2 linked regions of the Rhinolophus ferrumequinum genome follow. The protein of the gene in region 2 interacts with the protein of the main gene of each other region in a pairwise test. Links are inferred from orthologs where the notes say so. Each region holds a gene or a part of one and is shown on either strand. Other genes may lie near its edges.

Region 1 (12,086 bases), on a different chromosome or scaffold from region 2:
GGTAGGATTAGAAGGGATATTAATTTCTTCCTTTATACTTTTCTGTATTCTAAACACTTTAACAAGAAAATCAGAAAGACAAACATATATGAAAACTCAACCAGTCTTACCAATACAAATTCAGTGCAATATCCCAGTTCAAGATATTGCAAGAGCAGGAGAAAATAACAGATACACACGTTCACACTGCTCATCCCTATCCTTCTTTATTACCTGTACAGTACAGAATTCAAGATTCCTGAGAAATTCCTGAGTTTTGCTATTGTTACCAAGGAGCTTAACAATAACTTATGATCTCAGAAGCAGCAGATAAAACTATGTAGGCATAACGAACTAATAGTAATACTCTCACTGGAACCTTAAAACACAAGGTAACAATTGGCTGTAATATGAATACCACTTTGACACCTAAAAACTATTAAATGAAAATAACATATTTATAGTCTGTATTAATACCCTCAGTTCCATTAACTAAGAACTTTTACAAAGTCACCCTATTTTTTTTTTTTAATAAAGTGACTTGAAAAACATACTCTAATGAGAAGGATAAATTTTAGAAGATAATTAGAATTTTATTTCATGTAACAGTTTCCATTTCCTCTCCAGAAGCTTTTGCCAAAAACTGCTATTAAATGGACAAAACAGATTTTCTTTCATCTTTTTTCCCTTCCCACAAGACAAAGAAAAAGAAAGCAACAGACAGTGGTAATCCACCAATGTGGCAATCAGTTCATAGTATATATTCAAAATAAAGTTACTTAGCGAAATACTAAGTTTTAAACATAGGAAAAAAAATTATTTTATTAAAAGTATGTATTTACTGAAATAAATTTCAAACCAACTACTGAGAAACTCAGCAACAGCTCTGTGATGTAGTCAAAGTGATGACTCTAAGAATCAACAATTTAAAGTGATCAAAATTATTTGTAACTGCTTCTAACAGATGCTCTCTTCCTTTAACATCTTTATTCAGTCTACTGGTACAACAGTTAAAAAAAAATTAATCCCCTGTGGAGAAGATTACCCAGCAAGTTGTCTCATGAGAGAAGAATTCGGTTTAAATTTACAGGGTCTCACTGACATAGTGTGCGCACACGCACACGCACACGCGTGTAGAAGCATAACCCCAAAATTATAATACTGCATAACTACAAGAGTAAGCTTAAGGATTCAGCTCAATGTAAAATTCAAAATCAGAACATTAGATACTTGCTCTTTGTGGTTAGAGTAAGATTCTTAATTTAAAAGTAACATTTCTAGTACTTGAGCACCTTATATGCCAGCAAACAGTTTTAAGCATAGTAATACTCAAGAATATTGTTCTGTATAATAAAAACCAGATGGAAATTCTGCAATTCATGTTGCAAACACTTTTTCTTTCGATTAAGTGATTTAAATATTATTGTGAAACCTGGTACAGTCCCCTCAATTTTCCTATTTTTCTTTTCTAAGTTTCAAGGTTCCTTGGAAACAGTTTCAAATTTTTTGATCTTCCACTGATACAAAGCAAAAATTCTTTCTGAATCACTACTGAAATAATAATCAATTGCTGTGTACCGTGAATTTGACTAACAGTAATAAACATACCAGTGTTAGGATGTATGGAAAAATGCTATTTCTTTTTGTTAGTGGTACATTTAAAAAAGAGATTTAAATTTTTTAAAGGCAGCACAAAAGTTCCTCATAACCTTTCTTCTTTAAAATAGAAACTCTATGACTAAAGGTATTGATCTTAGAATCCAGTGCTCAACTAGGTTCAAACAAAGTACAACAGATTATCTAGCAAGCCAGTCTTTACTACAAATGGATAAATTCATTGTATGTAGCTACTGCTTCCATTGTGTTCATAAGGTTTCCACAGAACTGATAAACTAAAAGACTTAAATCCTCAAAATGTAATTAATACCTTTCAATACTACTGCAAAATATCTAAGAACACTGAAAAACATGAGGCTTTCAGCACAAGGGTGCCATGGTACAGTACTCCTGATTGGTGGAAAACTTGTCCAATGTTACAATGAATCATTACATCAGCCAAAATGTCTGTTTCTTAATTTTTTCTAAAAGAAATTCAATTGGAAAAGGTTAACAGTAAAAATATCAGCCTAATCTCTAAGACCATGGAGTCCTCAAAAATGATAGTAGGGGGAAAAATACCAAGGCATGTATTTAGCCACAACCTTATATGGTCTTACAAAGTTTAAGAAAGATCTATCTTTTCAAGTTTTCCTAGACCGAACATGTAGACATCATTGCCATCATGGAAACAACAGCTTTCTAATATTTAGTTCATAAATACTAAATGACTCCTGGTGCCAGTCAAATCTAGAGACTACAAATCAATACCCACCTTCTTTATCCACACACACACACACACACAGGAACACATAAAACATTATTTTAAGTCTTTAGGAAAATGATCCATGCGTATCAGGAAGAAGTTGGTATTCAATAATAAAATTGCCTATTTAAATTACATTCTGGGGGGAAAAAATGACAGATTTATAAAATCAGCCAAATTCTCTTTGTATCAGATCTAATTCCACTGATTACCCTTCTTTAACAAATATTCATCAAGTGCCTACAATTAAAGTCAAAACTGAACATGAGCAGTTTCTCAACCAAATCTTAAACTTTAATTTTATTTTTTTTAAGGAGGGTGCAGCGCACAGTGGCCCACTGGGGATGGAATCTGGGGATGGAACCAGCAACCTTGTTATTAGCACTATGGGCTAACCGACTGAGCTGACTGGCCACCCCCTGACTTTATAACAACATGTATAATTAGTTACCATGTTATCAACCTCTGCATAACAGGCCTTCTACCAAAATACATTGGAAATTACACTTGGTAATATCCTTATGTATGTGGATCAATTCTCTATCACACTTGACTAGGCCCTCCTTACATGGTGGGTGGCTTCTTACCATGGGTGCTCATCTTCCCTTTATACAGCTAAGAGAAAATATTGAAATTCTATAGTAAAGGATTGTTTTGAAGATAAAATGGAAATCAATTAGTAAAGTTAGATTCCAAAGCCAATGTGGAAATGTTTCTTTTTGAAGGGATACAAAGTTCTCTTCAAATATCCTCTCTTTAAATGTTCATTACAGTTAATCCCTAAATCTAAATGCTAAACACTATACACACAGGCAAGTTTCTAGGAACTAAGAATACAGTGGAGAATGAAACAAAGTTCCTACCCTCATGGTGCTTCCACTTAACTGGGATTGTCTATGTGCAAGGTACCATGCCAGTGCTTTGGGGCATACAAAGAACACATCCTGTCTTTAGAGTTCACAATTTAGTGGAATAGATACATAACAAAGATACATATAAAGACAACAGAAGATAGGAAGTGATATGTGTCATAGACAGGAAGAGCGATGACTTTCATGGGGTAGGGGGAAGGCAAAAGACACGAAGAGTATTCATTTTCTTGCCCTACACCACATTTTAAAATTATGCCAATTTATTACTGGGCTCCTCAGTTGTATCCTGGTACCTGGCACCTTAAAAACCAAACTGCCAAAAAACAAAAAAAACAAAAACCAAACTGCCTATATGTATTTCAAAGATTTACTTTGGGGATTCCTCAGATAAGACAGCCTCACAATTTATTGTGAATGCCAAACAAGGAAATGCAAGTAAAAACACTGTGTAGTGCAGAGATGGGCTCAAATAAAATTATCACTGAGGGCTCTGTGTCTTAACTTTATTTAATTTCCTGAGTATCAATCTCCTCTCCTAACACCTGGGAATAAAGTACCTAAACTTCCAGTTCCACTAAGGTATCCACCTTTTTTTCCTGGTATGATGGGAATATCAGCCTCTGTAAAATGTAACTCACTATAAAAATGTCATCTTTCTTCCTCTAGGGACCCTATTATAGGATAGTCCTAAAAGTCAGCAGGATTACTAATTAGTTATCTTTTCTAGGCCTCAGTTTCCTCCTCATAAAATGAGAGGGTGGGACTGGATGATCTAAATAAATTAGTCCTTTATGGGCCTTAAAAAAGTCCCATGACTCCATTATGACTCAAATACTACTTAAGAGTCAGCTTTTGGGAGTGATACGAACTAGAAGTTAAATGAACGTCTTCCTTTTTTATAAGTTACTTCTTGCTAAGATAAGGTTTTGTTGAGCAAGTCCAAACAGCATTCTAATTACAAAAAAAGAGAGTTAATGAATTTACAAGTTAGAAGCTTTAAGTTACCAGCACTCGATATATATTACATGCTATTATCAAACAAAAATCCAATTAGACTGAAATAATTTTAAAATATTAAAAATCACAATCTTCATGTAGTGTCAACTTTCTACCCCGTGAAAAACGTGACTTCCCGTTACTGTAATCCAAAACTGCTGATGTTCATACGAAACAGGAGTAGCAGGGCAAAAATGGTTTTCTAAACTAATAAAGAGGATTGGGGGGGGGGGGAGCAGGCGAAGGGAAAGCAAATCTGCTTAAACCTGCAAGGATGATCTTTTCTCCAAAAGCCCTCAGTTTTTTCAGAAGAAAAATCGGATGCTCCGGTTCACTGGAGGTAGGTTTAAATAAAATTCATGGCGCTGACAGTCAGTTTTAGGATTGGACAGAATCGAGATGGCGAAAAAGAGAAGAGTACAAACTTCCTGGGTTTTCTCTCCTTCTGTAAAAGATTTCCTCTTGCTGACGAAGGGGAAAGGCCCCTTTAACAGTTTTTCCCTACGCAGTGGTTGCTGCCAGACTAGGTGGGGCTCCCTCCGCGGCCGTCCTCCTGCCACTTCCCTCAACAAATGGAGCAAACCAGCCCCGTTTCAGGCAAACTTTTTCCTTGTCAGGCTCGAGCCTGCAGGGCGCCGGGGAGTGGTTTCCCCCGAACGCCACTCGCCCAGGCTCGGGGCTGGGGGAAGCTGGGTCTTTGCAAAAGACAACTTTCTGGTTTCCGTTCTAACTTCCACCCACACCAGGAAGAGAACCGAGGCGGCCAGCGAGGGGGCTCCGGGACGGGGGACTACAGGCAAGGAGAGAGGTTAAGGCGGCCGCGGGCAGAAAGGAGTGGTGCTGGGGGGGGTCCTCGGGCTCTCACTTCCTCCGCCATATTTCAGACATTTGACCCCTTCCGCAAAGCGCGCTGTTTCCCCGCGGCGGCGGCGGCGGCGGCGGCAGCAGCTCGCCCCCGCCGGCCCGGGAGGCAGCGCGCTCGCCGGCCCGGCGCCGGTCCCTCGCACCACCTGCCGCGCTCCGAGACCGCCGCCGCCGGGGCCCCTGACCGCCGCGCGCGCCCCGCCCGGCCCGCGCCGCACCCCACCCGCTCCTCTGAGCCGGCGCCGGGCCCCCGCCCCGCGCGGCCGCGGCCGCTGCCGCCGCTCCCTTCATCGGCCACGCACGCACTCTGCGAACCTCTCACGCTGTCACCGAGTCCCCGCAGCCAGCGTCGCCCCGCGCCTCGCGCTTCCTCCGGGTCGCTGGTCCCGGCGCCACGGCGGTCCTGCCGCTGCCGCCGCCGCCGCCTCTCCGGCTGGTTTACACGCCTGACTCTGGGCGAGGTTTGGCGGTGTCGCCTTGACGTCAGGCGTTCAGCCTCGCTCTCGCTTCCGCCCGCGGGCGGGGTGCGCGGGTACGAGGCCCGGGAAGGGGCGGGGCCGCGGGGCGGAGCGAGGGGAGCCGAGGGGCGGGGCCTTCCGCGCCTTCGCGGCGGCGGCCGGACACGCGCGGTACCCTTCACGGTGTTTCCTCCGCGGTGTTTCTCTCCGGCCCCCACCGCCCCTTCAAACTGGCCTCGGCCCTCTGGCTCCGGGAGGATCCGCGTGTTGGCTTCCCGGACGTCAGCGGGTTACACTATTGTGAAGGGCTTAGAAACCCTCCGAAACTCAAAAGGTGTCTTTAAGGCAAACTGGAATTCAGTCACTAACGCCACCAAACAGTTGGTGACTGCGTATTCCTTTGTGCTGGGGAAAGTGGCTGGAGAAGTAACCCAGCGCGCAGTGTCCACACCTAGAGCCTCGTGAAGGTTTTTTTCTTGAATTGACAAGTATTTCATCCTCTGGTGTGTTAACCCGGGTGAACTCTTTCCAATTTACTTTGCCAAAGTCAGTTAACAAATCGATGATCCCAAACAATTTTGTACTCTGAGCCTAAATCAACCGTTTATATGAATAAAATAAATCGCCTATTTAAATGCATGACTCGGGCACTTTAAAGGGTTACTCATAGGTAGGTTTATGATGTGACTGGTGGGCAACAGAAAGCACTTTCGGTTCCAAAAAGTGCGGGAACTTAACCATTATTAGGGAAAAGACTGAACTACACCTACCCTTCCTACAAGACATCGGCTTTTTTATGAACCGAAGTTTTGATGGGCGAGAGGTTCAAAGAGAGCAAAGTGCAGGGTAAAGTAGGGGTTTGGGGCGGGGAGTCATTGAATTCTGAATGAATGAATTTCAAATAAATTTAACTTTACTGACTTTACAATTATTGCGTGAAACTGTGAGAATTCTGAAAGCCTGAAACTCTGAGTTCATGGAAGCAGATATTACCTGGGTGTACTGTTTTGTTTTTTTCTTTCTTTTTCTTCTTTTGTTTTTGAAATTCTACTTGACCTTTGGGCAATTGATTTTTTTTCATAGTCAGTTTTAGAAGATTGGAGCTAGAATTATTCAAAGTTTGAGAGAATGTGTAAAATAGTTGAAAATACATTTGTTTTATTCCGTTATACTGGAAATCATTAAACTTGTATTAAACTATTATCTCTATGTAGGAAATTCATGCAGAATGCTAGAATCTACATCTCTTAGCACTGAACTCACTTTTGGGTTTGAGCCCCTTTTTCCTATTTCCTTGAAATCTTCACTAGGATATTCCACTGGCAACTTGAACTGGTCATGTGTGCAAACTGAAGTCATCACCTTTGTCACAAAACCAGTTTCTTTTCATTAACCGTTATCACCATTTTTGAAATTACCCAGCCTTCAAACCTGGCACTCTGTTCTCTGCTTTTTCTCCAACCATCAGTCAATTGGCACATCTATTAGTAAATCATTTCTACTAAGAACACCCTTTTTGGGTGGGCACTACTTCTCAACTCTTAGACTTAAGCCTTGTGGACTCTGGTCTGTTTCTGCAGTGATCCATTCTACACCTTGTTGCCAGATGAATTATCTTAAAGCATACTGAGCAAGTCACTCTCTTCCTCAAAGAGTCTTCTGTTACTCCCCCGCCATACCAAAATAAAGTTAAAATTCTTGTGTCTTACACTCCCATTTCATTTAAAACTGCCTTCCAGTCAAAGTGGACTTTTCATCTTGCCCAAACATAGTGCTTGCCCACTCCTCTGGTGTGCAGAGGTGACTTCCTCTGCCTGAAATGCCCTTTCCCACCCCTGCGCATTATTCAAAGTCTTCACTTTCTCCAAGAAAGAGCATCTTTTCTGATATTTTCAATCTAATGTGGTTTCTTCTCTTTCGACTCTGAGTAACACTGTGGTGCTCCTTTCTTTTGTCACTTGTTTTGTACCTTCCTACTTGAACAAGTGTTCGCAAACTTTTTCTTTAAAGAGCCACATAATAAATATTTAAGACTTTGAGGGCCAGATGGTCTTTGTTGTAACTACTCAACTCTTGCCTTTCTTGTGCAAAAACAGCCATCGGATATATAAAGAATGAGTGTAGCTGTATTCTTAATAAAACTTCATTTATGGACACTAAAATTTGAATTCTGTAAAATTTTCCCATGTCACAAATATTCTTCTTTTTTAAAACATTTAAAAATGTGAAAACTATTCTTACCTCCTCTGTACAAAAACAGGCAGTGGGCTGGATTTGGGCAGCAGGCCATCATTTGCCCTCCTATACTCAGGGCCAGCCTCCTGGACATGTGACAGGGCCTTGTGCTTAGAAAGGCCCCATGATTTGTTTAATGCTCTGATGTCACCATCTTGAAATTTTTAATAACTTTTGAACAAGAGGCCTGCTTTTTCATTTTGCACTGGGTCCCTCAAATTTTGTAGTTGGTCCTGCCTGTACTAGAAGATAAAATCATAAGATCAGGATATATATTTTTTCATGTTTGGCATGGTGCTTTTGACATAATAGGCATTCGAAATGTATTCGTTGAGTTTTCTTTTCCTAAGGTGCTGTGGAATAGTGGAAAACAGGATAGTTGATGTTCACTTCCACCACTTATTAGCTGTGTGTTCTTAGGCAAATTCCTTAACCATGTTGAGACTTGGTTTTCTCATCTATAACATGGGGATAATAACCTCTGGCTTGCAAAACTGTTGTAAGATAAAGTATAGAAAATAGCCATATCCTAGCCCCTGGGACTAGAGGAAGCTCAACATTAGTTTTTCCCCTTTCAGGGGAAGTGAATTAATAGTGTGCTCACCTAAAATTCTTGATGCATTTAACCTGATACAGTATTCGTGATTTTTCATGTTATTTACCTCCTTAAGAGTTTTACTTCATGTAACATCTATACCTCATTAGCTTCATTTCAAAAGTCCATATAAGTGCATGTCTTATTGCAAATCCAAAATTAGATTTAAAACACCCCAAATTTACAATTTTCCTAATTAACAGTTAATGATTATTAGCATTAACAAGTGTTATGCTGTTTAGCTTTCAGTTAAGCATGGTTATCGGTTAGCACTGATAGTCATTAACCTTAAATATTATTACTTTATTTCATTCACAAAACAATATTGAAAATTGATCTTTTCAAGGCACTTTCTTACTGGTTTTCTCTCTCTGTGTGTGTGCATATGTGTATATGCATGTATGTGTGTGTGTATATACACTATATATATTTATCATAATATATATAAATATATATTGTATAATATATAAATATATAAAGATATATATAGTGTGTATATATATAGAGTATATATATAGTGTATAACATATAAATACACTATATATTTTTATATATATATATAGTGTATAATATACAAATATAGTTCTATTCCTTTGCAGTACCCTGCATAGCTGGAATTGGAGGTTGAGAAGTATAAGAAGGCTGCTTGTTGATGCAAAAAAAGAAAAGCCATGGCTTAAATCCTCAGTTAGTTTCATTTTGTTTTCTTGGTCAAAGACTGTATTCAAACTCTGTGCAGTTATTTTATAAATTCTAGCACCTAATCACTTGAGAAACCTATAAGAGCATATTAGACCATTGCTATTATGGGAAAACCCAGAACTCATACTCTCCTAGGGTAGTTTGTGTTCCTTTAAGATTTCTGTCTTGGGGAAACCAAATACTTATATGTAAGAAAAAAATGAGGCAGTTTGGCATGTTTTCTACTCTGTAATAACTGCTTATTTGTCTCAAGATATATGTCAAATTCTGTCTGTACTCTTTTTCAGCAGTTGTAGGCTTGGCCACCAAACCTGCCTACACCACACTAAATAAATCTAACTGTTCTATAATTTTGTCATTGCTAATGTCTGTGATGTAATGAACAGATTATACTTGAAATGTCCCCCTTTCTTAAGCTGTAACTGAGAAAAACCATATAAATGAAAATGATGTTCCCAGAGCCATCATGTAAATGAGCGTTAAAGCAGAAAACCACTCAGTGAACCAACTTGATAGAATACCCCTTGTCATGAAATTTTCGAAAAAAATTTAAGAAAATCTTCAAAAACCACATATATAAATGCTTTTAGAATCTGGGGAGTCCCCAAATCAAACAGACAATATAATCACGCCAAAGATGCTCCAGAGTTAGGCATCCCCTCAGACTTTATCATGATAGTATTTAGCCTCTAGTCCTTCTTACTTCAAGTTCTGTGTACGAATCACATACCTCAATAATAAATACCAAATTCAAGAGGTAGATTTTAATGACCCATTGTACAGGTGAGAAAGCTAAAGCTTAGAAAAGCTAAGTGCCAAGGCCATGCATAAATACGTGGGCAGAGTTGAAATTTGTATCGTTGTCTGCCTTCTTTTGGCACCATGCTGCCCTATTATCCCTTTATAAATGCTGTTCTTTCAGCCAGAAAATCTCTTCTGTCTCTTTTGTATTTATCTAAATCTTGGTCATTGTTCACGACCCAGTGGATTCTTGCTTCTCAGAATTTCCCTAGTAATTATTGTTTGTACCACTCGTTTGATATTTATCAGACACGGCCTTACTTAAATTGTGTTTGTCTTCCTCCCATCATGAGATCCTTGAGAACCAAAAGCATATTTTTTTTGTACCTATCATACAGTCTGGCATATTAGATATAAAATGTAGTGTTTTTTGTGTGTGTGGGTGGGGTATCTTGATAATTTTCGTTAGATTCTCCAAGCTGATCATAGTGGATGTATGACCTCTGGCAGTTATTTAACCTTTCCAAGTTTCTTTTTAGTAATTTTTAAAATAAATGCACATAACAATATCTGTAATGTAGTGCTTTAAAGATTTTATAGAATAATGGACCAGATATAAAAATGTAAGTAATAGAGTAGCTATTAAGTGGATTGGTTCTGGAATCAGATTGTAAGTGTTCAAATACAGGCTCCATTCATCTTAGGGAATTTACTTCTGACACCTCAGTTTCCTCATTGTAAAATGAATACAGTGATAAAACCTGCATTATGGAATTATGGTGAGGATTAAAACAGTTAACGACAAAAACAGTATAATGCCCACCACGAAGTAAGCACTTTTATACATGTTAGCTATCGTCACCTAAAAGATTCTCAATAAATGTTGGTCCCTACTACATTCTCTGGCACAATAAAACTTTGTGAAAACATAGTAAGAATTCAACAAGTGCTTGTTAAACTTTCCTTTTACTTTGCTTATGACAGTCCTCAGTTAAGGAGTGGTTGTGTTCTCAAGTTTCTTTATGTCAGTGGCTTGTAACTTGAAAATATTTCTGTAATGCAAACAATGCTGTAAATTTTATAGCATGGGTAGCTTATAATAGAATGTGATTAGTAGAGAAGCTAAAAAAAAAACAACCTGTTTGAATCCCTAGATACTAAATACAGTTCTTAAAGAATTATTTCAACTACTGCTAATCAGCGTTTAGAACACTGTTGCCTTAGTTTTCATCGCACCTTATTCTCATGAGAGTCTTCTTTTCTCTCTGGCTGGTTCATACTCTTTCTTTGGGCTATCTCTTCTTCCTCCTTACCTGTAAGGGCTGGAATCCCTCAGAGCTTGATCCTGGGCCCTTTCCTTGTTGTGTACTTTCTTCTGGGCAGTTCCAGTCTTTCCCATGGCTTTATATGCCATCTAAATGTCAACGGCTCATAGATCTGTATCTGAAGTTCAGACTTCTCTGGCGAACTCTGGATATGTAGAGCCAGTTAACTCTTGGAAAGTTTCTCCTTGATTGATCTCCCCCAAACCTGCACTTCCTCTAGGAATCCTTATCTCAACAAATGGTACCAGCTCCCTAAAACAGAAACCTAACATTTCCCTTTACCTTACATACCAAATTCTTCACCAAGTCCTCTTGATTCTACTTCTGAAATCACTAAAATATGACCACCTTTCTACATTTCCATTGTCTGGTTGGTTTATGTACTTTTACTCTTGTCCCTCTTCCCATCTATTCTCCAAATAGTGGTCTTAATTAAAAAAAAAAATTATAATGGCAAATTTCAAATATACATAGAGAGAAGAATTTAATGAGCCTCCATGTACACATGTTTCAAAATGTCCCCTAATTTTTGCTACTCATGTTTCATCTGTACTTTTTTTTTTTTCCGTATTCGGGTAGTTTCAGGGTAATCCTATAAATATTTCAGTAGGCATCTCCCACAGATAAAAACATTAAAAAAATATAACCACAATGCCATTATCATATGTAACAGAAATAAAAAAGTTCCTTAACAAAATATAATACTGAGTTCATATTGAAAATTTCCTGGTTGTATCAAAGATGGCTTTTCACTGTTGGTTTGTTCAGTCCAAACATTACATTGAATTATTAAGGCTTTTACATTTCTTTTAATCTCTAATAGTCCCTCCTCCTTTTGTTGAGTGAAAGATCATTTGTATATTTTATTTTGTGATGTGCCTTTCCTTATCTTTCAACTTCTGTATAAACGATATCACCTTTGCTCAAAACCTCATAATGATTCGGTGGCAAAAAACC
Region 2 (12,298 bases):
GTCCAAACCTCACCCAGCCAGTCACCTCTGGGCCTCTGTCAATGGCCGGAGCCCCTGTAGCCACTGCTGGATATCGGGGTCGGGTCGGAGGTCATAGCCACGACATTCGTTCTGGAGCCGCCGCAGCTCAGAAAGGACAGCAAACTCCTAGGAAGTGGCCCTCAGACTATAGGAGCCAAAATCCAAGGGCCCCTGGCTTGCCCTCCCTGTCCGTCCCCTTCCTGGGACATGGCTAGGGGTAGCTAGCATCCGGCCCAGGCAGTCTCCTCACCTTCCTCCGCTTGTCAAAATTGATATATCCATTCTGCAAGGATAAGGGGGATGCGGTGAGAGTCCCAGCCCTCCCGAGAGATATGCCCTCTTCCAGCACATCTGCATCCAGCGCACACACGTGACCGGGCCTCTCTGACTCCCCTGCCCCTTCCCCACCCCCTCCCATCTATCATTCCCTGAACACTCTACCTTACCTTCTAGATTGAGTATCTCAGGTAGAAATTATGTCCACTTTACAGATGAGAAAATTAAGCTCAGAGAGGATTACGAACCAGCCTAAGGTCCCAGTATTCATTTATTTGACAAACTCCATATATGCTTACATTTCAGGCATGTTCTAAGCACTTGCCAAATATTAATTCCCTTAACCTTCATAATAACAGACTAACGTAGACCCTGTGGCTAGTTTCCCATTTATAAATCACTAAGGCACGGCCAGCCCGGTGGCTCAGGCAGTTGGAGCTCCATGCTCCTAACCCCAAAGGCTGCCGGTTCGATTCCCACATGGGCCAGTGGGCTCTCAACCACAAGGTCGCAGGTTCAACTCCTCGAGTCCCGGAAGGGATGGTGGCTGCGCCCCCTGCAACTAAGATTGAACATGGCACCTTGAGCTGAGCTGCCACTGAGCTCCCAGATGGCTTAGTTGGTTGGAGCACGTCCTCTCAACCACAAGGTTGCCGGTTCGACTCCCGCAAGGGATGGTGGGCTGCACCCCCTGCAACTAACAATGGCAACTGGACCTGGAGCTGAGCTGCGGCCTCCACAACTAAGACTGAAAGGACAACAACTTGAAGCTGAACGGCACCCTCCACAACTAAGATTGAAAGAACAACTACTTGACTTGGAAAAAAGTCCTGGAAGTACACACTGTTCCCCAATAAAGTCCTGTTCCCCAATAAAGTCCTGTTCCCCCTCCCCAATAAAATCTTTAAAAAAAAATGAAATAGAAATTACAGAACACCAAGAGGTCAAGAACCTGGCCAAAAAGGTTTAAAAAAAAATATATCACTAAGGCACAATGAGGTCAGCAACTTGCCAAAGGAACAGAACCAAGACCCCGGCACTCTGGCTCAAGTCCCGGTGGGTCCTCAGTGCTTCTGCCTGCAGCCGCTTTCAGGAGGGAGTTCTGTCTGACCCCGAGGACCATTTGTTCTGTCATTGCACTGAACACATGAACACACACAGCACTGACCTCCAGCTCATCCTTGGAGGCTGCATCCAGCATCACCAGGTCTTTCAAGAAAGTGCCAAGGTAGGGAACCACACCCTGAGGTCAGAGGTCAGAGTCAGACAGACCTGAGGGCTCTCCATCCCTCCACACTTTCCCATTCCATTGCCTCAGAAGACACAGAAAATTGTCCTCATCCCTCTGTGCCTTCCTTTTCTGTCCCTCAGACGGCACCCCACACACACTCCTTAGTCCTTCACAACCACTCCCAGGCACTCACCCCACCACGGGAGCCAGACTTCAGGGCCTTCTTGGAATTTGGCTCCAAGGAGGGCCGCACCTTCACCTCCTGGGGGTAACAGAACAAGGAGATATGGGGGTGGGCGGGGGAGTAGGGATGGCTAGGAACACCAGGGAACAGGCCTCACCTGCAGGAGCAGCTCCCGGCTCTGGGAATAATTATCCTCCTCGGAGAAAATCTGGCAGAGGCTGGAGAAGACCCTGAGGCTGTCCCTGGGGAATGGAGGGCAGAAGGCGTGAGGACAGGCCTGGCTCGGCACCCCCCTTTCCCAGCCCTCAACCCAGTCCAGTGTGCCATCTGGCCCACCTGGCTGCTTCTCCCCAGGCTGCCCGAAGCCTGTGGATGGGGCTGGACTGCAGGGCTGACACAACAGCATAAACTGAAGAGAAGTTTCGGAGTAGACGGCACTCCTGTGAGGGTCACAGAGGGAGGCTGAAGCTGTAGGACCTCTCTCCACATCATGGTCCCCGACAGGGCTAATCCTCTCTCTTACCTCTGCCACTCGGATCCACTTCTCCAGGAGCCGGGCCCTCTGGGGAGGACGGAGTGGCCGTATGGTCACCTCCCCAGGCTCCTCTCCGGTTGAAGTAGCCCCCAGGACAGAGCTGACCACTGCCCCTGCCACCTTGTTGAACTGTGTGACAGTAGCTCGGACAGATGGGCAGAGGTGGGAATGTCCCGGCCGGTCTCTGTGACCCCACAGGCCCCCCAGGCACTGAGAGGGGATCAGATTAAGAAACAGCTCCTGTGGGGCAGAGGTCAGAGGTTAAAGTTCATAGACAAGAGAGGTCAGCCTTCCAATATTAGGGGTGTGAAGCTCTTAGTTGGCCAAGGAACCAGAAGGGCACAGGGTTTGAAGGGTAACAACCAAGGGGAAAAGGGGAAAAGTCAAAACTGGGTGGACGGAGGAGGCTGGGAACTGGATCAGGAAGGGTTGGAAGCAAGGAAAGGATCTGGAGTCAGGGAAAGGTTAGTAAAGGGGCAGGGGGCATGGGGGTCAGGGTCTCACCGCATCTAGCAGGGTCAGCTGTTCGGCCAAGTGGTCAGCGAGGAACACCAGGACATCCGTGGGGTCAGCAGGGGGATCGCCGGGGAGGGCCAGGGGCTTAGGAAGGTCGGGGGTCTGGGGGTCCACCCGGGACCGGAGGTTGCGGATGAGGTCAGCGCTGCCCCCCCCAACACCCTCCCCTGCTGCATACCCTGTCCGAAGCAAGAAGCTCTCAAGCCGGTCAAGCTGACCCTTGACCTCAGAGCCAAAATCCTCAGGGTGAGAGGCCAGCCAGGTTGACAGCACAGAGATGGCTACCCTGGGAGAAAAGGAATCAGCCAGGGGTCAGATGTCAAGCTGCAGCTCAGGCAGAGGGGCCTGTGAGGTTAAGAAGCAGGGGTCACTCACCCTTTTGTCCTCTCTAGTTCATCAGTAGGATGAACTTCAAGGGCTTCCAGCCTGGGGTGGGAGAGAGATTCTATCTGTCCATTTTTCCCAAACCCCCAGTGGCTTTGACTATTTTGGTGGGATATTCTGGCTTTAGAAAGTCCAGACACCTCTGTGACCCTTGGTCCCTCTGACCCTGACCTGTCAGCCATAAGCCCTAGCAGGGCAGGAGTGGAGGTGAAGGCCCGGTGGGTGGCCAGGAAGGTTGCAGTGAAGGTCACGTCAGCCCCTGATGTCCGAGCATCCAGCAGGTGTCTGACCAGAGCCTCCAAAGTGCCAGCTCGGATCTTTCGGGAGGAACGCGGGGGAGGTGTTGGGGCCTGGAGAAAACACAGGTCAGTCACTACCCCTTTCTTCAACTCTGCCCCTAGATCTCTAGGGAAACCCCCTTCTAGGAGATAATCCAGGCTCATTGTGTTAAAATTCAGAGAGGGCCAAAGACTTGACCTAAGTCACACCGCAGAGTCCAGGTCTCCAGACCTCCAACCTAGCACTCTGGCCTAACAGTTGGCCATTCTGGGGTTGATGCGTCAGAGGTGAGAAGCCAAAGTTATGATCTCACCAAGGGATCAAGAGGCCGATACTGGCGGCTTGTGACAGTAAAGATGGCACCATCCTCCTTCTCATCCCAGATAGACACAGGGGCCTGCAGAAATAAGGAAGGGGAGGTCAGATAGGCCCACACTACCACCCACTGCCCCCAGCCCTCACCCCCAGGCCCTACTCCTCCCTCTGTACCCCTCACCTGTGGCGGAAGGGGACAGTACCAGCGAGTGCGAGGGGTGGGGGGGGCTGGTGACCCCAGGTCTCCCCCACTGGGGCTCAGACAGCCCCACCCAAGCCGCCTCAGGGCCCGGTGGAGTAGAGGGGGTTGCAGTGGAGGGGTGGGTGGAATGCAGAAACCCTGATCCTGGAGACTACCGTAGCCCCTTCCCCCCAGAGCTGAACCCCAACCCAAAAGAGAAGCAAGGTGCAGAGGGTAGGAGAGGGAAGCGACAGACAGAAAGCTAGAGGCAGAGACCTTGAGAAGCTGAAACCTCAGTCACAGGCACAGCCGCATGCTCCGCCCTCCCCAGAAGGAACTGGAAAGCCCAGAGAGTTAGTCCTTCCCCTTAGCCCCTTCCCCTGGTCCCTGGTCCCTGGAGACCCCCCTCAAGGTGGCGGCTCCGATGCCAGTACAGGAAGGAGAAGGGGAAGTGGGGAAGATGTGTGTGTGTGGTGTGGGGGGGTAGACTCTGAGAGTCACGTGGCTCCAGCCCCTCCCCCAGCCGATCCCGAAAAACCAGCCCTGCCAGTCACCCTGCCCTCACCCAGCCCTTGGACCCTAGAGCCCAGGGCCTCCGGGCCCCAAATCCAACTTCAGGCCCTTCCTGAGGCCCCAAATCCTGCTCCTGGCCACCACTATTCGTCCGGGAGGAAAGCAGGTGACCATCCCGGCTCAGCCTGGGACCGTCCCTCCAAGATTCAAGAACCTTGGCTTCCCACCTCCACCCAGCGCCCAGAGGGAGAGGGGGAGGGGTCACGAAATCGAAGGGTTCCCTCCCCAATCCCAGAGTCAGAGGAGCCGGTTACTGTGGAAACAAACCCCTCCCCGCCAAACAAAAACAAGGGACCAAGACACAAAGCCCAGAGAGGAAGGCACACTCAGGCCCTGGTGGAGAGGGCCAGAGACCCGCAGGACAGCCAGCCAGACGCTCCTGGTAGTAACAGAGCAGGTTCCTGCGGGCAGGTCCTGAGTCACACTGCCACAAAGAACCACAGAAACGCCAGGACTCCCCGCAGCCAGGGGAAAGGCAGACAGACACCAGCAAGAGGAGCGGAAATAACTGAGTCGGGGGGAAGAGATGCAGGGACACAGACACGGAAAGGTGGAGTCCCCGAAATACATCCCCCAACCTCCCACCACCTGCAGCTCACCTCGTCTTCTTCTTCCTCCTCCTCCTCCTCCTGTCCCTCGCACACGCCTCGGCCACCTGGGTCCCCACCTTCTTCGGGGTCTCGGCTCCGGAAGCTGCTCAGCACGACTCCCCCGGGGGGGCTCGGGTCCCAAAGCAGCCGCAGAGGCCGCGGGAGCATGGCCGAGGGGAGTCAGCAGGGTCGGGCCATGGGGGCGCCTGGGGAGAGAAAGGAGGGGGGGCGGGTGGAGAGGCAGGTGGGCGCCCGGGATTCGGGAGGGACGCGGGTAGTTGTCTAGGTAACGAGTCCTGCAGGGAGGCGGGGGGGGGGCAGCAACACAGGGGTGAAATATGGGGAGCCTTAGTGCATTGGGGGGATGAAGGGGTCACGAGTACGGGAACGGGCAGGATCACAAGGTGCTCTGGCTCTGACCTGCTCGGGAGGGGTGGGGGCAGCGCGCGGGTCCCGGGCAGCTGTTCCTGTCGGTCTCCAGCCCCCGACCGAGTCCCCAGACCAAGTCCCCTCCCCGGCTTTTCCGCACCCCCTTGTACCCCCCCGCCAGGCTCCCGGGCCCTCCCGCCCTTTCCGCTCCCCCCAACGTCCGCCCGTTCCGAGAGCAGGAGCCAAAAAGGGAAGGAAGTGAGGACAGGAGCCAGGCCCACGGACTAGGGGAGTGCTGGACGCCCAGGGGCCAGAGGCCAGGACCCAGGAGCCCGGGTCCCCAGCTCCGCTGTCCTCCGGCCCCACTGACTGGGGGATCCTGGAGCCCACGTCGCCCCGACTGAATTGGGATAAAGATTCTAGTCTCCAGCTCCGGGGGAGGACAGGAGAATTTGACATTCCTCTCCCCCCACACAAGACTGAAACTCCCGCGGTACGCGTTTTAGCGTGGAAGGACCCAGTTACTCCACCCCGCGGGGTTACACACCCCACCCCACCCACGCGCGTATCGGCCCGAAATCCACTCCGGGTTTTGCGGAGAGCCCTCGGGACCCGCCTCCCGCTAGGAGAGGGGGCGGAGCAGGAAGCCGCTACATCCGGTTCCAGAGTGGGCGCTCGGCAGCTTCCGGCGCTTGAGGCCGGGATCTCCGCTCCCTTGGTCGCCAGGGAAACCTTAGTGCTAGCGGGCGTCCGACCCCAAAGTGTTTCGCAGGGGGATTGGGTTTCGCCGGGAGGTCGGGGAAATTGGAAGGGACCGGAGGTGATTGGTGGAGTCATTGTGCTTAGAAAGGGGAGCCTGGGGTAGAAATGAGACACCCGTTGGAAGCACTGGAACACAACTTTATTCCCATCGGACCAAGCCCGCTCCCCCTGCCGGTCTGGCCCACCGTCCAGCCCCTCGAAGGCCCCTCCGTTGAGCCGCCGCTTCCTTCGTCCTGTACTTATTTGACCCCACGTCTGTTTTTGAATATTTAGGACCAAAAACATTCTGTAATTTCTTCCACTGAGCGCCCTCCAGTGGGCGCTAGGCCCACTGCGGGCGCGGGTTCTTGCCTTCGAGGAGCTGCGAGTCCAGAAGGGGAGACGGGCTTTAACAACGACTCGCACAATCACTTCAATACAAGCATGGTGAACCGCACTAGAGGGACACGCGGGGGTCTGAGGGGAATGACGAGGCTGACCTGATTTGGACCCCAGGGAGAGCGAGTGCGAACCCGGCAGAAGGAGCAGAGTTCTGGGACCCAACGGGAGGGTGGGAGGCCACTGGAGGAGAGGAATAGCGGTCCGTGTGACGAGCATTGAGAGGGGTGGAAGAGGTCAAGCAGTGGCACCATCGTCGGAAATGCATATTCCAAGAGCAAGAATGGATTTGGCCTCTGGAGCACCGGTTCTTCCGGTGTGGGCCCTGCCCCAGAGGTCCCTGAGACTATTGCACTAGGTATACAAAGTTAAGTCTCTTCATAACACTGCGAAGATGTTATTTGTCTTTTTCACGCCCATTCTCTTAAAAGCGTACAGTGAAGTTTTCCAGAAGGTACATGTGTACTGACATCACCCTCACAGCTAGTGGAATGTGTGCTTGTGTCTTCTGCTTTGAACTTTTCTCAGTTTTAAGTTCTAGTATGATAAATAGTTTATAACCCACATAAGCAAAATCTCTTTAGAGTCCTTGATTTTTAAGATGTCCTGAGATAAAAATTTTGAGAACCACTGCCCTAGAGCTCTTAAGAACGTGAATGCTGTAGATTTGGGTCTTGAAAAAAAAAGAATTCCAGCCATTCAGTGGAGAGAGATGGGAAGGAGCAGAAGCAGGTGATGGCATACTGGGGGGGGGGGGGGGGGCTACTGCAGCAGCTCAGGCCAGAGATGATGGTGGCTCCCCAGCATGGTGTTGAGTACCCTCACTGTACTTTCTGGAAAAGAAGTAAAAATGAGGTGAGGAATTTGAGGTTTTAGAAAGCTTGGTGAAGAGCTCATGGTTAATCCGAGATAAAGGAACCATCATGGGTACAGAGGGTGGGAGAAGAATGGGGCTAACATTTTCTGTGTTATCTGCCTGGCAGACACTGGTGAGTTTTTTTGCTCCTGCATCTGCCAAAGGAGATACACTATCTCCTTTCATCCTCCCAACGGCCCTCTGAGGGCTCCACTGTTCGGTGCGATAGCTACCACCCTCGTGTCTACTGAGTATTTGAAATGCGGTCAGTCAGAAGTGCTGACAATTTAAAATAGACACCTGTTTTTGAAGACTTAGAAAAACACACTGGAATTTCTTATATTGATTACATGCTGAAATAGTATTTTGGGTATATTAGATGAAATAAAGTATATTAAATTTACTTGTTTCTTTTTTACCTTTCAGGACGAAAAAGTTCTACGGAAAGGAACCTCCCAGGGTGACCCGATCATAACAAGCTCCTAACTGCAGCTCATGGTGGGTAGTCACGGCCCAGGTTTATAACTTCTTTAGTAAAAGATTTATCTTTGCCTTAAGCAAGCCCGGTCCATTTTTCCTGTACATCTAGGTTAACACACCTTTGAAATAAGCTGTAACGACCCTTAAGAGAGCAAATAATTTTAACTATCCTGTAATCCAGTTCCCACCTTGCTTTCTCCCACCTTCTGGTAACCTTCGTTAAGTTCCCTAAGGTACATCAAAGAAGCTGCAAACTCATTCTATGGAGCATTTGAGATCTTGCTTCCCTGTAACTGTTGTCAGTTTCGGTTCAAATAAACATAAAAATTCTCTACAGGTTTGGACGTTTCTTTCGTCAACACCTTTTGAATGTGACTACTAGATTATTTAAATTTACAGATGTGGTTGCATTACATTTCTATTGGACAGTGCTGTTATCCCTATTCCCAAGGAAACTGAGGTATTGGTTAAGTAGCATATTCAAGGCAGCAGAGTTTAACCCAGGTCTGTGTGAATTCCAAGTCTAGGTTCTGCCCACCATGCCAGCAGGCTCCCTCCATGGGTGAGGAGTTGGGGGAAGGGCATGAAATGAGAAGGGAAAGATAAGGCTAAGGTGAAGCGCTCTTACCTTCTTTGACTCCTTGGAAGCAGACAGGTAGGCAGCTGTGGAGAGAGACAGAAAGGGATGGGATGGGGCGTGGTTGGCAGGATGGCTGGCGGGCTTTTGGGAGGAGGCAGGGAGCGTCTGTAGGTGGAGGGGGCGGGGCTCACTCACCTGCCCAGCCCAGTGCCTTGAGGAGCCCCAGGAGCAGAAAAGCAGACAGGAAGAGGCCTACACCATCCTCCAGGGAGGGTCCAGAGTGACCTGGAGGGTAGGAGGGGCAAGAGTGAGTTCTGGAGTATCTTCTCAGGTACCCTCCACCCCCCTTCTCTATCCTGGCTCTTACCTGCCACTTCCAGGGTGACTTCAGCACTGCGCCCCAAGGCAGGCAGGCTGGGGTGGTGGACACGACAGGCATAGCGTGCCCCATGCTGTGCAGAGGTGACCGGGGGCAGCTGCAGGTGCCCGGAGAGACTGACAGAACCGTCAGAGTGTTGGCGCAAGGCTGAGAGCCACCTCTTTCCCTGGGCCTTCTGAAAGCTGCCCTCTGGGCCTCCTCGGAGCTCCCACTCCACTTCCAGGCCCTCGGAGGGGTAGAAATGGGACACGAGGCAGAGCAACTCGGGGGGTGCTTCCCCGGGCACAGCCCATACAAGAGGTGTTGGCATCAGGGATACTTTGGGGGGCTCTGGGAAGAGAGTAGGAAAAGAGCATGGGGTGAATCAATCCACATTGTCCTCCCTCAGAGACCCTGTTTGTCCTTTGGCTTCTCCAAAACTGAAGAGTGTCTGGGTTTCTTCTCTCAGGATGGGGAACCCACTATCTCCCCATTGGTGCATCACAGGAATCTTCATGCCAACGCCTCAGTTCTCAGGGATCCCTGTCCCCTCAGATTTGAGAACCTTCGTCCCCAAAGCCCTCAGATTCCCAGGGATCCTCCATCCGTTGCCCTTCTGACTCCCAGACACCCCAACCTATCTCCACCCACTCACCCAACATCCTCTTCTCCACCATCCCTCCCCTATCATGGTGTCTCCATAATGTCTCCCCTCTACCCGTGAGGACCCGTGTCCCCCAACTCACTCTGCACAGCAAGCTCCAGGGTGACCTGCCCTTGCAGGTATGGCAGGTGTATGGTGGCCAGATAGGCGCCCTCCTGGAAGGGCCTCACTGCAGGCAGCCAGAGGGTCCCATTTCCGGTCCATGGACCCCATGGCTCATTATCATCCCAAGCAGCAAATGCCACTGCCCCATGTCGGGCAGCTGGCATTTGCCCATCCAGCCCAGGAGTTGCAGCCAGGAGCAGGTGCCCCTTACCCTGGTGCTGGTGTCGCCACTCCAGCCCAAAGGGAGGGGGACCTGGGGCCAGAGACGTAGTGGCCTCTGGAGTGGGGGGCATGTAGGCAAAGCTCAAATCCAGCAGAGCGTCTTTTCCCAGTTGGACTTGAGTGGTGGGGGTGTGGGTGAGGACAGTCAGCACAACTGAGGAAAATGGGGAGAGCAGAGGGTGGGAGGGGCGTGAAGGAAAGAAAGGAGAAAAAAACAGAGAAATGGAGTTATAGGGAGGACTCAAGTCCAATGTTCCCACCCCTCAGAGGACACCTCCTTTTCTGAGACTCACCATCCCCAGCCCTCCCTGCAAATCGCCTGTTCTGGGACCCGGTGGGGCCAGTGTAACTGAGGCTGAGCAGAAAGGTCTAGAGGTAATGGAGCCCTTGCAGGTATAGCCCTTGCAGGCTGCTCTGAACACAGCCCGCTCAAGCTCTGGGGACAGCGGGATGTGAGTGCACTTCTGCCACAGCCCGAACCAGTCCGGTCTCCATGCACCACCCTTACAGGAGCGAGGCTTTCTTGGTTTGTTGGTGAGGACGATGACTCTGATTGTTGGTTCTATGGTGCCATGCAGGTTATTTCCTGACCCTGAACGGTTATGGCTCTGGCCTAGACCTGAACACAGACCTCTATTCTCTAATGAGGCAATGTCGCCTGGAGCCTGGCTGCCCGGGGTAATCCCAGCTCAGAAGCTATTTATGTGGCCTTGGGCCAGTTGCTTCACTTTTCCATGGCTCCCCTTCCTAATCTCCTAAAGATGACACTGATGATGCCCTGTTTCCCCGAAAATAAGACCTAGCCAGACAATCAGCTCTAATGCGTCTTCTGGAGCAAAAATTAACATAAGACCGGGTCTTATATTCTAGTAAACATGGTGATAGTATCTATTTCATGCGGTTGTAGTGAGGGTTAAATTATTTAATCCCTTTTGCTACCCAGATTTATTCAGTTCCTGGTTCTAGATAACAAAGACACCTACATATGAAAGGCACTTGGAACAGTACCTGGAACACAGTAAGTCTACAAAAGCTTTTGCTGTGATTACACCTAAGCGCCTGCCCAACTATAGCATCTCTGCAACACCCCCCACCCTGTTCCAAAGCCCATCCTTCCTGCCTTGGTGAGTGATCACCACCTGTCCCCCAGACACTAAAGGCAAACACTTGGGAGTCACAAGACTCCTTCCTCTAATTCATTCATTCAGCTAATATTTATTGAACACTTAGGATGTTTAAAGTAGAGGACAGACTAGTGAACAAGATGGGCAGTGCCTGCCCTCAGATTGCTTACAGGTTAATATGGGAGACAGATGAGGAAATTGTCGACTATAACATGCTCTGTGCTAGCCCCACCAGGTCCTAATAGATCTCACCTGTTTCCAACTCAAGTTCTCATCAATGTACATTTGGACAATTACAATAGCCCCCTCTCTGGTCTCCCCATCCTCAGTGTCTCTCTCCTTCAATTCATCCCTCACACTGTAGCCAGTGTGGCTACAAGTCTGATCCAGTCACTTGCCTGTTTAAAAATCCCTGCTACCTTGGAAACCAGCAGTTCAGGGAGCTAGATGTGTGTCCTCGGGCAAGTTACCTAACTGCTCTGAGTCTCAGACTTTTTCATGTGTGACATGGGGATAATATCAGTATGTAATTCTTATGGTTGCTGAGAAGAATAAGTGAGATTATGCCTATAAAGTGCTTAGAACAGGGACCTGGCATATAGAAAACGCTTGATAAATGTTAGCTGTTACTATTTTCATTACTATCATCATCATCATCGTCGACTGGATATCTTGGGAAAATCGTTGAATCTATATTTTCCTCATTAGTCCAATGACCTGGTCCTTGCCTACCTTTTGTAAGAATAAGTAACAGGCCGGCCCAGTGGCTCAGGCAGTTGGATCACTGTCCCTCTACAGCTAAGACTGTGAACAACAGCTCTCCCTGGAGCTGGGCTGCCGAGGTGGGCATGGACTGCCCTGGGCTGCCGTGGGCTGCCCTGAGCAGCCGGTGACCGACTGCCTCAGCTGGGAGGAGTGCAAGGCTCATAATACCTGCATGGGCCAGGGGGCTGTGTCCTACACAACTAGACTGAGAAACAACAGCTGGAACTGGAGTGAGGGGGCGGGGGGAGGTGGAAAAAGGGGAGGGGGGTAAGAATCAAGTAAAATAACAGGCTCTTTGGAAAAATAGTGCTTACACACACAAAAAAACTTCTGATGGTTCATCAATGAAGGCCAGCTTTCAGGGTAATTGATAATTTAACTCCCAACCCAACTTTCCAGACTTCTCTTGCACCCTAAGAACAAGCTACACAGAATCCCTTTCCTGGCAGAAACTAATCAATGGGCATTTCTTTGCTTTGGTCATAAAGTTCCTCCAGTTTCAGTGTCCTTCCCCATTTCCTCCCAAACATCTAAATACTCCATGTCCTTC

Evidence for each region.
Region 1: the proteins of RGL2 (region 2) and RAP1B interact in a two-hybrid assay, tested with the Homo sapiens proteins (2 studies listed by BioGRID and IntAct). The link is inferred for Rhinolophus ferrumequinum from reciprocal best matches to the Homo sapiens genes RGL2 and RAP1B.

Annotation. Positions count from the first base shown.
Region 1 is NC_046293.1:64,827,275-64,839,360, reverse strand, and holds the start of RAP1B (ras-related protein Rap-1b), read right to left. Parts: upstream 5,572-12,086; 5' UTR 5,389-5,571; intron 1-5,388. UniProt on the Homo sapiens protein: GTP-binding protein that possesses intrinsic GTPase activity. Contributes to the polarizing activity of KRIT1 and CDH5 in the establishment and maintenance of correct endothelial cell polarity and vascular lumen.
Region 2 is NC_046286.1:3,640,865-3,653,162, forward strand, and holds the start of RGL2 (ral guanine nucleotide dissociation stimulator-like 2), read right to left. Parts: upstream 5,665-12,298; 5' UTR 5,506-5,664; intron 5,292-5,505; 5' UTR 5,254-5,291; coding exon 5,095-5,253; intron 3,824-5,094; coding exon 3,740-3,823; intron 3,498-3,739; coding exon 3,319-3,497; intron 3,190-3,318; coding exon 3,139-3,189; intron 3,050-3,138; coding exon 2,752-3,049; intron 2,488-2,751; coding exon 2,236-2,487; intron 2,153-2,235; coding exon 2,049-2,152; intron 1,955-2,048; coding exon 1,870-1,954; intron 1,791-1,869; coding exon 1,722-1,790; intron 1,541-1,721; coding exon 1,466-1,540; intron 305-1,465; coding exon 272-304; intron 148-271; coding exon 26-147; intron 1-25. Other genes in the region: TAPBP (tapasin), read right to left, coding at 7,416-7,427, 8,559-8,593, 8,706-8,795, 8,878-9,219, 9,615-10,013. UniProt on the Homo sapiens protein: Probable guanine nucleotide exchange factor. Putative effector of Ras and/or Rap. Associates with the GTP-bound form of Rap 1A and H-Ras in vitro.